Linked DNA regions of Neodiprion lecontei. The protein of the gene in region 2 binds, or shares a complex with, the protein of the main gene of each other region. Links are inferred from orthologs where the notes say so. Each region holds a gene or a part of one and is shown on either strand. Other genes may lie near its edges.

Region 1 (6,662 bases), on a different chromosome or scaffold from region 2:
GTTACGTGCACACATAATAATCGGCTACGTAGTGGGTGGATCACAGATACGAACGGACGACAGACTCACCGAAGACAATTACTTTAGTGCGCGAATGCGTGCAAATAACCACAAGGAGTTAAAATTTTTTGAAAGTACCCCAAGAGCATATTCCGGCTTCAATATATCCAATGTGATCACTTTGAAACTTTCATGTTAGTCCATCATCTCCGTTACAGTGTACTTTTTCAGCTTGTGTTATACGAGAAGAAACTAAAAAACAGACTAACATTTGTGTACGAAATGATGATTTTAACTTATTTATGATTGTAGCTGTTTAGATGAAAGAAAGGAAAAGATGAAACGATTCAGAAAACAATAACGCCAATTACAGCTTTGTTCATATTGATATAATATAAAGTAAAATTAAAAATTAAAATAAAAAGGTATATAGATACATTAATATAGACATTCTGAAGTCGCGTACGTACATTTTTTATACAAATGTGCCAATTGTTTCTGTTATAATTTTCATATAAGTTGTGCACAACAAACGCGAACATAGGTTTTACAGCTGATATATACATACAATATACATATATCTCAAATATTTATAAATTTTGTACAGATGGTAACGAAAATTAAAACTTTTCACCAATCAATATTCACTTATTGCTGCGCGCTTGAAATCACTTAAGTCACCATATTGGATTAGCATTAAATAGGAACATACTCTGTACGGGTACTTGGAAATACTTTAGGTATTGTTGGGTAATATGAGTAGGCACACCACTTTGATATAGGAAGCGAACATATTTTATTATTAGATTACGAAATATGTATATATGTGTGTGCATGCTAATATATCCCCATGACACCCCTGTACATAATAACCAAAAATCCCGCACCTACTAGGTTCTAAGTGACGCTCGGAAAAAAAATGAGATAAAAAAAAAAACAAATTATGAACAAACAAACGAAAACGACTCTTGCCAAATTTTCAATGGGACGTAGGGACAAACATTTGAGAAATCGCAAAATATATTGGTATTATAAACTAAACGTTCTTATTATGTCTTCCCATTATTCATTTCATACCATGTTATACCTGTCTAAAAAAAAGGGGCAAGGGATAAAAGTTTGGTCAGAATTGGATAAACTCTTTTTTAAATAAAAAAAAAGGTTGTTTTACTTCGATACATTTACATACAGAGTTTTTTTCAATCCAAAATCGGCTCTCGAAGCAAGATTGCTCGGCATGAGAGGAACATAAAAAAAAGGATTTAATTCCTATCATTCATTCTGAGCCCGATTTTATCTTAAACAGTAAAGACTTATCTTGGGCAGTTTTTGACGAAGATAAAAGTGCATTTGACGAAGAATGCTTACTACTACCACTACTGTTACTGCGTTTCTCTTGCTTCACTTTCTTCATCATATCCCTTAATCTTCTGTCCCCACTGACAATGTTTATATTCGGTGTGAGTTTTGGTGCATTAGATGCACCTGTTGGTGTACTGCCGCCACTATTCGACTGTGACGAGGTAGCGTTACTAGAAGTTGATTTGTACTTGTCGGAATGCTTCGAGGCTACGGAAATCAAATTAACGAAGGAATCAAGCATTTTGTATGAAAATATCATTGAACTCTTCTTCCTTTTGGTACACTTACTGGAACCTGATGATTTTTTGTGATCTTTCGATTTTCCTTCGGCAATAGTTCGCGGCGAACTTCTGTCCTTTGACGCCTGAGATAGTTGAAGGAATAATTAAAATGAAAGTCAACCAAGCTTCCAAATACAATTAGAAGACCTGCCTCAAAATGAAAAAATGTCTGTGGGCATAGAATTTTCAAACAAAACCTTACCCACCTGTTGAGATTTTGAACAGCTCGAGCAATACCAAACTAGTCTCGGATCATCTATTTGAGTATCCAGAATGTGAGGCGTATGGCACTCCTGATGATAGAGAGAATGGCATTCTACACATTCCACAAGTCGGTTCCTTGCCCCTACATCCATTCCCTTGCAAATGACGCATGTTAAATCATCTTCTAGAATCTCTAGGGCGAAAGTGTCATCTGTCTGGATAATATCTGGGGGAGTGTCGTGCGAAGGTAGGTTGATGGGTGAACTGTTTTTACTCGATTTGCTCGAGTGCTTGGATGACGTGGTGGATCCTTTGCTCTTCTTGCTACTACCACTGCTGTGGTCACTAAGCACTGGCTCTTCCATTGTGTACTGAAAAATAAATGAATTCACAGCGATATTGCAATGGAACAAAGATTGATCCTTTAATTTTTGGGGAGAGGCAAAAATCGATAAGATTTCATATAGCATATTATTAAAATCGAAATGAAGCGATTAAACAATAATGTTGATACTATGCTGTTGAACAGTGCCTTTTCAATATCAAGAACAATTAACAAATTGAGACCTGGACTGGGAAAATAAAAATAATCTATTATTTGTACCTTTTTATGGAGAACATTGCAGAGCATTTTCGCTGGGCCATGTTTTTGTCTGATTGCGTCATCAAGAAGGGACCGAAGTTGTTCTGCTGAATCCTTGTTCGGCGAATGTAGGAGACGGAGTCCTTGCATGAATTGAGGGTCGAGATCCAACTGAGACATTATTATCGCAACACTGTTTCACCTGGGAAAAAATGTTAAAAAATAAAATATGCTGCGTGGTTATACTTCTATCTTACAAGGAAGACAATGTTTTTATCATATTGGAGATCCTTTCAAAAATAGAAGGCATCACAAGTGATCAAACAAAGGAGGGGTTCGAATAATTTTAATTCCTCATATTTGCTTAAATTTTCACTGAACAATTTGAAGTTTTTCTCCTGTTTTAGGAATGAGGGAGATGTGTTTTACATGGTGGAAGAATGATTTTGAATTCTGATATCGAGGGTATTTTATTTTTCTTTTCAAGCCAAGCTATTTTAGATACAATAGTTCACTTCGGTATTTAACAGACTTAAATAGAAACATGAGGTCATTCCCTACATAATATATTGTTTCTAATAATTACCGTCCTAACATTATACGACCATTGAAATCGATTTAAAACCTAAATAATATCTTTGCAAAAAAAACCGAGGAATGGATAGATAAGTACTATTGGATCAGTATTTTCTGTCTACTTCAGTTCTGTGCAGAATCAACGTGCCACTGCTATTGTGGCTATTGGCCCTGTGCAGTGCTGTTTAAGTACGTGCTTCACGCTGATGTGTGCGGAGCATGTATGGAACAACGCTATATAAAACGTAAAACCACGGAGTATAGCGTAAAACAACCGGCAGGCTATACCCAATACCATCGGATGCGGGGTAGAAGGACCACAGACCACTTGAGAAGACGGTACATGCATACTACTATTACTACTAACACGAGTTTTCCCACCCATTTCTCATGCTAGTCTCTTGTTTTGCGATTACTGAATATTCGTAGCGACATCTGGGGATCGTATCGGCGAGTTATCTGTTGTGCCGATAGAGTTCGAAGCACTCGTTCGAGTTCAGTGATGTAATTGGTGCGTTCCAAAGTTTTAACCGATTGCGGTAACAATTTAAATATCGCAAATCACAATGCTTTCATTCTAGACCGATAAGTGTCCACGAAAGATATTCTGTTCGAAAACTTGACATGAGAAGAAAATGACGAGAATCTAAGGGTAATCGTAGTGTAATACACCATGAGGGTAATTTGAAATTTGCAATATATAAAACCATTAATATTGCTCCATGATAAAACCTTAGAGCATGTTTGTAGCACGAAGTTGGTCTGTAGGCACGTCCATATGCCTAATGAATGTTTTTCTGTTGTGACGTCATATTTTCTTAGGTAGCGGCGGTCTGATTCGTACTGTAATCAACCCTACTGAAAATTATTCTGTGATAAATCACATAATGTTATGACCGAAAATCGGATGTGTTTTATGATGCAATTTAACATGTGAATACAATTTAATACGTATTTTTACATCTCATAGTAAATCGTGAAGTATAGATTATAACATAAAATACGTAAATCATATGAGAAATCATAGGTTTCGGTATATGATTTGTTGTGTATTTTATCTTATAATCTATACTTCGTGATTTATCGTATGATTTGTTATGTATTAATTCGTATTCACATGTTAAATTACATGATAAAATACATCCGAATTTCGGTCATAACGCGTTATGTGATTTATAACAAAATAATCTTTAATAGGGTGACGATATGGGCGTAATTACGAGCATCATATCTACACACAGATCTTTTATTTTACATTTTACGTTAAGTACAATTTTGTTGCTAGAAGAGAATAAGTTATGATCATTTTCATTTCGAGTACGCAGGGATATTTATACACGCGGTTAGACGGATAGCCGACGTATAAATAAATATGTAGCTTACATATTATATTAACAGCGTATCATCATTTTTGTTGTATTAAAAATATTGTACAGGTTGAAACTTAGGATTTTCGAAATGCTCAAACAGTTTCACGCTATGCAATAAGCATGGCTGCTGTACAATGTATATTATATTTATAAGTATTCCTTTTTTTTTTTTTTTTATGAAAGTCTTATCAGGATGATAACAATAGTATTATTGAAAAATTAACATTTCGGGGTATTGTGTTGACCATAGCATGATTGTGAAGCAGTCAGTCGTACGTTTTAAGGAAATTGTGTAAAGTAAATTATATGAAAATTTTGTGGTAAACTTTGTGTATGTCTAAAGTAAAGTCATTGTGATCGATGTTGTTGATGGTAATTGCAAATTACATCCTTTTTTGTTTCTTCTTTCACGTATCATAGTCATTATCATATTACTTGTTGCTACATCGATCAATACAACTACGTTTATATATTTTTCTTTATATATTTACATTCATATTCTCTCGCATGAAAACCTTTCTTGATTTTAATTTTCTTTACTGTAATCGCATGACACTGGAAAATGAACTACACGCATACATATTTAGGTAAATACATTTTTCTACACGACGCTCTTTGCAGGTGACGTTATTGTTGAACCACACACGAGTATCTTACTTCAGGGAATCACAATACTCTGGGTATGTATGTACACAACGTATACAAACTACAATTTTTATGTATACTCATACTGATTATACGGTATTCGCAAGTCAAGTATAAACTATGGCTAGGGTTTATCTACTAATTGAAATCCGTAAGCAAACTGATCCAAAAACCACAATTTTTCAATATACCGCACCACGCATAGTTGGCAATAATATAAATAATATGGTAGAGTTAAAAAAATATTACAATCACAGATCTATTATAAATACTACCTAAATGTGTATAATTCAAGATAAGCGCAAATATTTATTTGTATATAGCGCTATAAAATATTATTATAGTATTATTTACAAGTTTATAAAACAAAAAAAAGTCTATCAGCTAATCGTTGACTTCTTAATCAGTTTGCTATAAATTATGTACAACAATTTTAAGAAAATCACAAATTGCAAGCATTTGTATGACGTTTAATCAATCGTTATTGAGAATTTCGAAACTGAAACTCGAAGGAAAGATATTTTCGAATAACATGAAGTAAATCTATTTCGCGGCTTCAAACAATGAAACGAAACTCAGATTAGATAGATTTTACGAATTACAATAATTCAGAACAATATATCTTGGCGAAAATATGTCTGGAAGACTCGTATGAGAAACAAAATTCAGTAACATCAGAATAGTTGCCTCTATAACGGTAAAGGTGGTCGTAACTTTTTTTTTTGTTGCCAAATAATATACGAATCGAAGCAGGAATTCCAGCTCAACTGAATCAGAAACATAAGTAATTGGTCATCGATGTCTCCTTTTTATCTTGTAGAAAAGTTTCCGTTTGAGACTTGACATCTTCAGCTAGTATTATTATCACTATTATTATTGTTGTTGTTGTTGTTATTATTATTATTATCATCATTATCATATTAGACTTAAGTTACTTGCTTTTTTCCTGAAGAAAATAGATCAACAAATAAATCAGCATTATCGATTTTCTGAGGCGAGTTGTAATTTTTCATACGCATACTTGGTAAGTACCTTAAGTTATAATTAATTAGAAAGCGCATTTATATATATTGTATAGGTATAACATATGATACGATAATAATGAATAAACGCAAGGTACCGATAATATCTGTGAAATTCTTTGTTCAGACATTGTAAAGAAAACCTCATCTTATTGCTAAAGAGACACGCCTACTCGCAATTCATCCATGTATATATGTATAGTGTATATACATAGGTGTATGTATTTGTTTAGTATAGGTAAACGTTTACATAGGACGTTACAAAAACCGATACCACAAAGGACTCACAGAACCAATAGAAATAATATAATTCAATTACACATTCCACGTTATCTGTGACATAGAATTTTGCAACGAGTCGTTTTACGTCCGACATAAACTAATCATTGCTCGGTTAGTTTATGAGAATTCATTCATTCTTGAAAATATTTTCACTCCTTGACTTAGCAAGCTGCCTTCAATTAACTAGTTATTTGTATACCTAGTACATGTAGGTAGTAACTTTTCTCGTAGCATCTGCATGTCGCATGAAATCTTTAGTTTTGTAAAAGTCAATCTCGCCGAGGCAGTGACAGTAGCTAATCCTGGCTCCAAATCTTTACGAGTATCGGGTTTTATA
Region 2 (6,423 bases):
GAAAAAAGTTAAACCTAAAGCTGTAAGTTTCATTATTTCTAATACTCACGTTTTCTTTTGCAGGAAGTCGGCTTCGACGACGATTGTGCAGAGGAATTCAGAGCTCGATGTTGGGTCAAAGTGATAAGGACGAACTTCGATGTCCTGATTGAGGGACAGTGTTGCCCATTTACGTTGAGGCAAGCTGAAGCCGACTGTTCCACGAGGTATGTCATGATGGGTCTTTACCGTGAAAACGAAATGCTGATTTGGACCTGTAGTAACTTCGATGTGCCTGAGACAATACACATTGTTAAATCTTGCGAATCGAATCCGAATTAGATTACATTTGACAATTGTGGTAAAAAGAAGGTGTAGTGAGATTGTACTTCGTTTGCGGACAATTCAAATATCCTGATTAATGACAGAACCATTGCTAGAAATGAGGGATTGACAATAAACTATTTGGTTTATAGATCATCAGCAAAACAGAGGAAATGAAGAAAGTGAAACGAGTTTCAGAAAATTTTGGATCTTCAGTTGTACTGCCATGTATCAAGTTTTTTTCAATACAATTCCAAACAAACTTGATTTTTCAAAAAATAATTAAGTAATAATTAAAACTTCATTGTTATTACTACACCAGCTTTCTTTGATTGCTGTAATAATTAATTCAAGCATAATTTAAGCAAATCGTAGGCAAACTACTCACTTTATATCATCTGGAAAATCATCACGATTTATCACAGCACAGTTGGAGAGGCTGAGCTCGTCGGTAGGACACTTGATCGCTTTCATTATCTATGAAAAATGTAATATTGTTAGTAACAATAAATCAGACAAAATAAACGAGAAGCTATGGCCAAGGTTATAAAATTCAAGTTGAAATCGCTGAGCGACAGTGAACTTAGGTAAAGATTAGATAAGATTTAATGATGAAAGTAAAATTGATTGGGTTCAGAATTCGCAGAACATTGATTTTATATGTACACCCACAAGTTTGGGAATTTTAAATAGAAATTATGCCAGCTGGTCGGACAGTTTGAGTAGCTATTTATAAATATTCTAAAATACATGTCACACACTGTCAAACTGATTCAAATAAATAATATTTGGCGGTGAGGAAATGGTATAACGATATAAGAGTCACTTGGTGCATTGCACATGGTTCATTTATTTGACTGAAATTCGACTAGTAAGTATATTTAAGCAAATATCGTCACGAGGCGTGACTGCAGGTGAGGAAAGGATGAATTAGATGTGATAAACGTCATTTTTACTAATCAGAAAAAAAGATTAAACAGAAAACCTTTTTTGTCGCGCGCGATAGTTACGGAATCAGGCTTCAAATACGAAGGTGATTTTCGAAGAAATTATTTATCCGGGAATGAACTAATAGCTCAATAAATTCAACGTGACATAAGCTGCGACTGTAATCAGGATTATTGACGTTTCAGTTGCGCCGAAGGGGCGTGCGTTATTTTGTGCAGCAAACGCTCGTAGGATTTATGATCGCAAGTATGATGTTCCTTTGTGTTCGTAATTCAGCGATTTAACGTGTAATTAACAGATCTTAAGCAACAACTTACCATGCCCGGCATACTTTTTGACATAAATACGATAAACTTAGGCTCCTGCTTCTATAGAACCCGCAATGCAGACAGTTCTGTTCTCTTTTTTTTTCCCTTCCCAGCAATCTGAATGCGATCAAGCTTCGAACTGAAGAGAGTATCTAGAAGGAGAATCAGTGATCACGTCAGCATGCTGGGCCACCATAAAACTGTAACTAGAGAGAACAGCCTGCGCGAGTCGCTTGCGTCCCGTGAGTGTTGGCGCTCTCTCATATCATTCGTTTCATAGAGCCAAAGAGCCTGAAAGAGCCTGAGAACCATAGACTTTTATGATGAGAACCCGTTACAGGGTGCATTTTCACGGGCAGTAAATTAATGCCATCGCAGCTAGCAGCGCCACGCTGCTACAGAAAGTGAAGAGCTTTCCGTGAAAATGTATCGGCAGCGGCAATAAAACGCTGCCCGACAAGCGCAGCCGTGAACTGATCACATGGTTTATCAGTGAATCTCATTTGTGTTGATATTCGCTTGCAATTCGTGAGTTCCGTAGTTCCGACCCGTGGTTCCGATGGTGCCAATTAGCCTTCTCTTACGCGTTTTTTTGTGATACCCGGCAACAATAACATCCTTCTGAACACGTCAGAACTACGGGTCGGAATTATAGGACTTATGAATTGCAAGCGAATATCAAAGGAAATGAGATCCACTGATAAACTACCCGATCAACTAAAGGCTGCGCTTGTCGGGCGGCGTTGTGCTGCCCCTGTCGACACATTTTCACGGGAAGTTTTTCGCTTCGTTGCGTTGCTCGCTACCGCGGCGTTTTACTGCCTGTGAAAATGCACCCGCATACAGCATTGCATACACACTGCACTACTGCAGTCGTCAAGAAATTCGCTTAATTCAGTTGTGTTGCACCCAGTCGCACCGCAGACGCTACAACTGTTTTCGAGTGATTTGAACTCCAAAAATGAGGAAGGGAAAATCAAAAGTATTTTGATGTAATATTTAAGTGAAAACTCCAATTAGAAAATATATTGAGAAGAACAGTGGTAGCATGGAAGCTTCTTCATCGTTCAAAAAATTAAACACGTTGTCTTCCTGTTAAATTATGTGTCAAACGGCTTTTCTTTCTCCGTATAGGTTAGGTTGAGATGCGGCGAGAATTTCAATCGCAGATTGCGAACTCCGTTCTTCGGTAAACCATATTTAATGATATGTGTATCACGTTTCTGATTACTCTCAAATTTTATGCAGTTCCTTGCTGCATAAAGTTATAACTGCTTCAAAATTGTGTTCTATTTTCCTGTTTCTCCTGCTTAATCTCATTACATTCTTACCAATTTTACATTCTTAACAAGCGCCATAAACATTGTCTTATATACATTTGTATAATTGAATGGTTTAATATAATTTATTTCATTAAAATAGATGTGCATCTATATCTAGATACAACTATCGATCAAGAGCATAAATAGTTTATGCGTTGCATAAAACGTAGGAGCAAATGGATCGCGTAAAGACTGGAACAGGCCGTGGGGCCAAGAGCAAAATAGCTCAGCATCCCGCAGACTTGTTTGCTCTTGGATCAAAAAGTTCCAGAGGTGAAGCTACAGATTCCAAGCGACCTGGTGTGATCCATGGGAAGCCAGGCCCGAGTTCTACCTCAAGTACGACTTTTTTCAGTGCTACTAAAATTTACACTTCTTAGCTTTCTTCAATACTCTCAATGCTCAAGATAGCTTGTGTTTTTAAAATAAGATTGGTGGAATGAATTTGCAAAGACTTCTGGATCGTAAATTAGCTAGTCAAGTGGTGCATCGTTTACATTGGAGTATTTTCGTGCAGGTTCAGATCGTAAGAAGGAAGCTCCACCGGGATCATTGCAGTCACTTATTCCTCAGAAAAAAGCAAAATTGGCTCCACATGTCCCACATTCTCGGCCTCCAATGTTAAGCTCGGAGACTTGGGAGGGTGTAGCCATTGATTGTGATCCAGCGGATTTAGCCCCGATGGTCCTCGAAGCAAGTGAAAATGACGAGGCTGATAAAGTTGTTGGACTTGTTTGTGGAGCTGTGAGAACACTTAAAAATCAGAGATGGAAGCCAGACACTTTAATTTATATGGGTTTAATGTATTTGGCCAAAATACGCCCATCTATTTTTTCAAATGACTGTATTCTGCATGCTTTGTCGTCGCTCCTCAAACGAGATCAGACACATAATTTCAAGAGCAAGGGAAATCCCTTGGTACCAGTGCTAGCGGCCAATTTATTGATGAGAGGCTTTCACGAGAAGAGGAATTGGCCAGAAATATTTGTCAAAGTAATTGCTGATATCCTTTAATTGCCTTTTACCAAATCGTAAATTTACGCATGTTTGATTATTTCACGTTAACATATCCAATAAATTCTTACAGCTTTACATCGAGGATGCACTGGGTGAACGAGTCTGGGTAGATAACGAAGAGTGTAAAGGATTTGTGGATAACATTTTGACGGGTTTCAACACGAGGCACCCACCCAAAAGTATATTACAGCCGGATGTGTCGATATTAACACCGAGGGAGTGTCACAGTCCATCGACATTAGAGGATGACGACCCCGCCACCTCTGCTATTCAGTTATCCGGAGACAAAGAAAAAATCGAGTTTCCAGTTATGCCCAGATATGCACACTGCATAGAAAACATTGAATTGGTTGTGTTAGAGACAGTAAAAGAACAATTGAACAGACGTCAACCAGAGTCAATAACCAGAAACTTTTTGAAATTACTCTCCTTCGCTTGCGGCTTTGTAGAAATTCGAATCATCGCTGTTCCAAAATTAGAAATGTGGCTACACAATCCCAAGCTTATGAGACCTGCTCAAGAATTACTCAGTTATGTCTGTTATAATTGTATAACGCACACACAAAGAGACGTTGAAGTGATAAGTCAGTTGGTGAAAATGAGGCTTAAAACTAAGGCGGTAATCAACATATATCTGAACGGTGTTAGAGAGCTGATAAGCCTCCACCCAGAAAATTTATCAACAACTCTGAAACATACAATCTATAATGAGTTATCCAGTGCTAGAAATCCAAATAACATGCCGATGCTTGCAGTTATGTTTCAAGCTGCTCCTGAAGCTGCTGCAAGATTACTTGCCGAAATATTTCAAGATTTGCTTATGAATCGCGAGGATTATTTAAGACCTTTAAGGGCATTGTTAAGGGAAATAGTCCGTGTATGCAGACACGACATAAATCTGCTCACATTGGCGCGTACGTTGATGGCAGAAAGAAAAGAAATATCGCAGCAACTGCTCAGCTTCGAGTTTAAAGACAGAGTTTTTGTATCGATTATTGATTTATTGTGCTTGTGCATGTTTTTGGCCATCAGCCCTCAAGTCAAGGAGGCTGCCTTGCTGGCTCAGAGAGGTGACAAAAAAGATGTAGCCCTCTTGCAACAGTTTCAAAACTTGGTCGCCACTTTACAGTACGAGTCTGTTTCCTGGCTTCAAAATTTAGCACCGCAGATGTACAGTGTTGGAAGGAACGAGCTAATTCATGCCTTGCATAAAATATTGCTGTTAGAATCTCCGGACCATTATTACAAGCTGGATAACTGGCCACCAGAATCAGATCGAGTCTTTTACATTCGTTTAGTATCGGATGTTCCTCTACTGCAAAGCACGTTGTTAAGATTACTGCTGATAGGGTTTTCTAAGGTGAGTTTTTTTTTCTTATTTTTTTCAATCTTATTTTTCTTATTCAGGCCTACCTAATCAAGCAATATCAATTTGGAATGTTTTTACTTTCTTCTTTGTTTTCAGGAAAATGGTGTAACACATTCTGAAACCTTGGAAGTAGCTGATCAACTGATAAGGCGAGCAGCATTAAACTCCTCTGAAAGCTATCCTACTCTAGCAGCTGACAAGATGGACATAATAGAACTGATTTTCAATCTTTGCGTCTATCAACCACCAGGTTCTATCAATATTCCTCCAGAGTAAGTTTTATACTTTCGTACACTGCGAACTGAGCAGTACAAAATCTTCAAATGATATTTACTTTCTAATCATGCTTTGCTTTTTTAGTTACGAACCACCAACTTTGGCTATATCAAATTTGTATTGGAAAGGTTGGATAATGCTACTGATACTAGCAGCCCATAATCCATATTCATTCGGTGCAGTAGGATGGAAAAGATATCCAATTTTGCAAACCTTCATGGAAATGTGTATAACAAAGTAAATATCCTTGTCATTTTTCGAAAGTCAAATCTTTTTTTCCTTGTTTACTTAAAAATTTGAGCAATGACCTGTTTGTTTCAGCCACTTTTCATATCCCCCACCAACGATGGCCTTACCTGAAGTTAGTGAACAAGAACGAGCTAAGGAACTGCAAGTAGAGGCGCTAGAGAAGCAAAAAATACTAGAGTATGAAACCCACTTGGCCGCTGCATCGACGAGAATGCAAATTTCCGAACAAAATAGTCTTTTATTATCTCAATTAATCACAATGGATCCGACCGGAATAGCAAGAAGACCTCCGCCGGCAGTTCTGGAACAATTGCAGTCTCTAAACGTATCTCATCGCCTAGGACATTTGCTCTGTCGCTCACGACGGCCTGACTTTTTGCTGCACATAATCCAGAGGCAGCAACAAAGCTCATCTCAGAGCATGCCATGGCTTGCTGATCTTGTTCAGAACAGTGAGGGGGCGTTGAGCCAATTACCAGTTCAATGTCTCTGTGAGTTTTTATTATCAACGAGCGTTCAAGCAGGCGATAAACAACCAAGGCAGCAGCAACTACTTGCTCACCTGCAGAAGTTACTCACAGATCCAACTCAGGATCAACAACATGCGTACGAAGTATTGGAATACTTTTTG

Evidence for each region.
Region 1: integrator complex subunit 1 (region 2) and integrator complex subunit 12 share a complex: the UniProt entries of both Homo sapiens proteins name them as parts of the integrator complex. The link is inferred for Neodiprion lecontei from reciprocal best matches to the Homo sapiens genes INTS1 and INTS12.

What each region holds. Positions count from the first base shown.
Region 1 is NC_060264.1:35,288,102-35,294,763, reverse strand, and holds integrator complex subunit 12, read right to left. Parts: upstream 3,999-6,662; 5' UTR 3,295-3,998; exon of another isoform or gene 3,017-3,294; intron 2,633-3,016; 5' UTR 2,611-2,632; coding exon 2,452-2,610; intron 2,219-2,451; coding exon 1,850-2,218; intron 1,727-1,849; coding exon 1,651-1,726; intron 1,570-1,650; coding exon 1,277-1,569; 3' UTR 1,130-1,276; downstream 1-1,129. UniProt on the Homo sapiens protein: Component of the integrator complex, a multiprotein complex that terminates RNA polymerase II (Pol II) transcription in the promoter-proximal region of genes.
Region 2 is NC_060263.1:39,937,406-39,943,828, reverse strand, and holds the start of integrator complex subunit 1, read left to right. Parts: upstream 1-2,286; 5' UTR 2,287-2,541; exon of another isoform or gene 2,542-2,693; 5' UTR 2,694-2,748; intron 2,749-2,981; 5' UTR 2,982-3,057; coding exon 3,058-3,220; intron 3,221-3,398; coding exon 3,399-3,874; intron 3,875-3,968; coding exon 3,969-5,258; intron 5,259-5,363; coding exon 5,364-5,539; intron 5,540-5,627; coding exon 5,628-5,780; intron 5,781-5,864; coding exon 5,865-6,423. Other genes in the region: vesicle-fusing ATPase 1, read right to left, coding at 50-274, 692-780, 1,569-1,592. UniProt on the Homo sapiens protein: Component of the integrator complex, a multiprotein complex that terminates RNA polymerase II (Pol II) transcription in the promoter-proximal region of genes.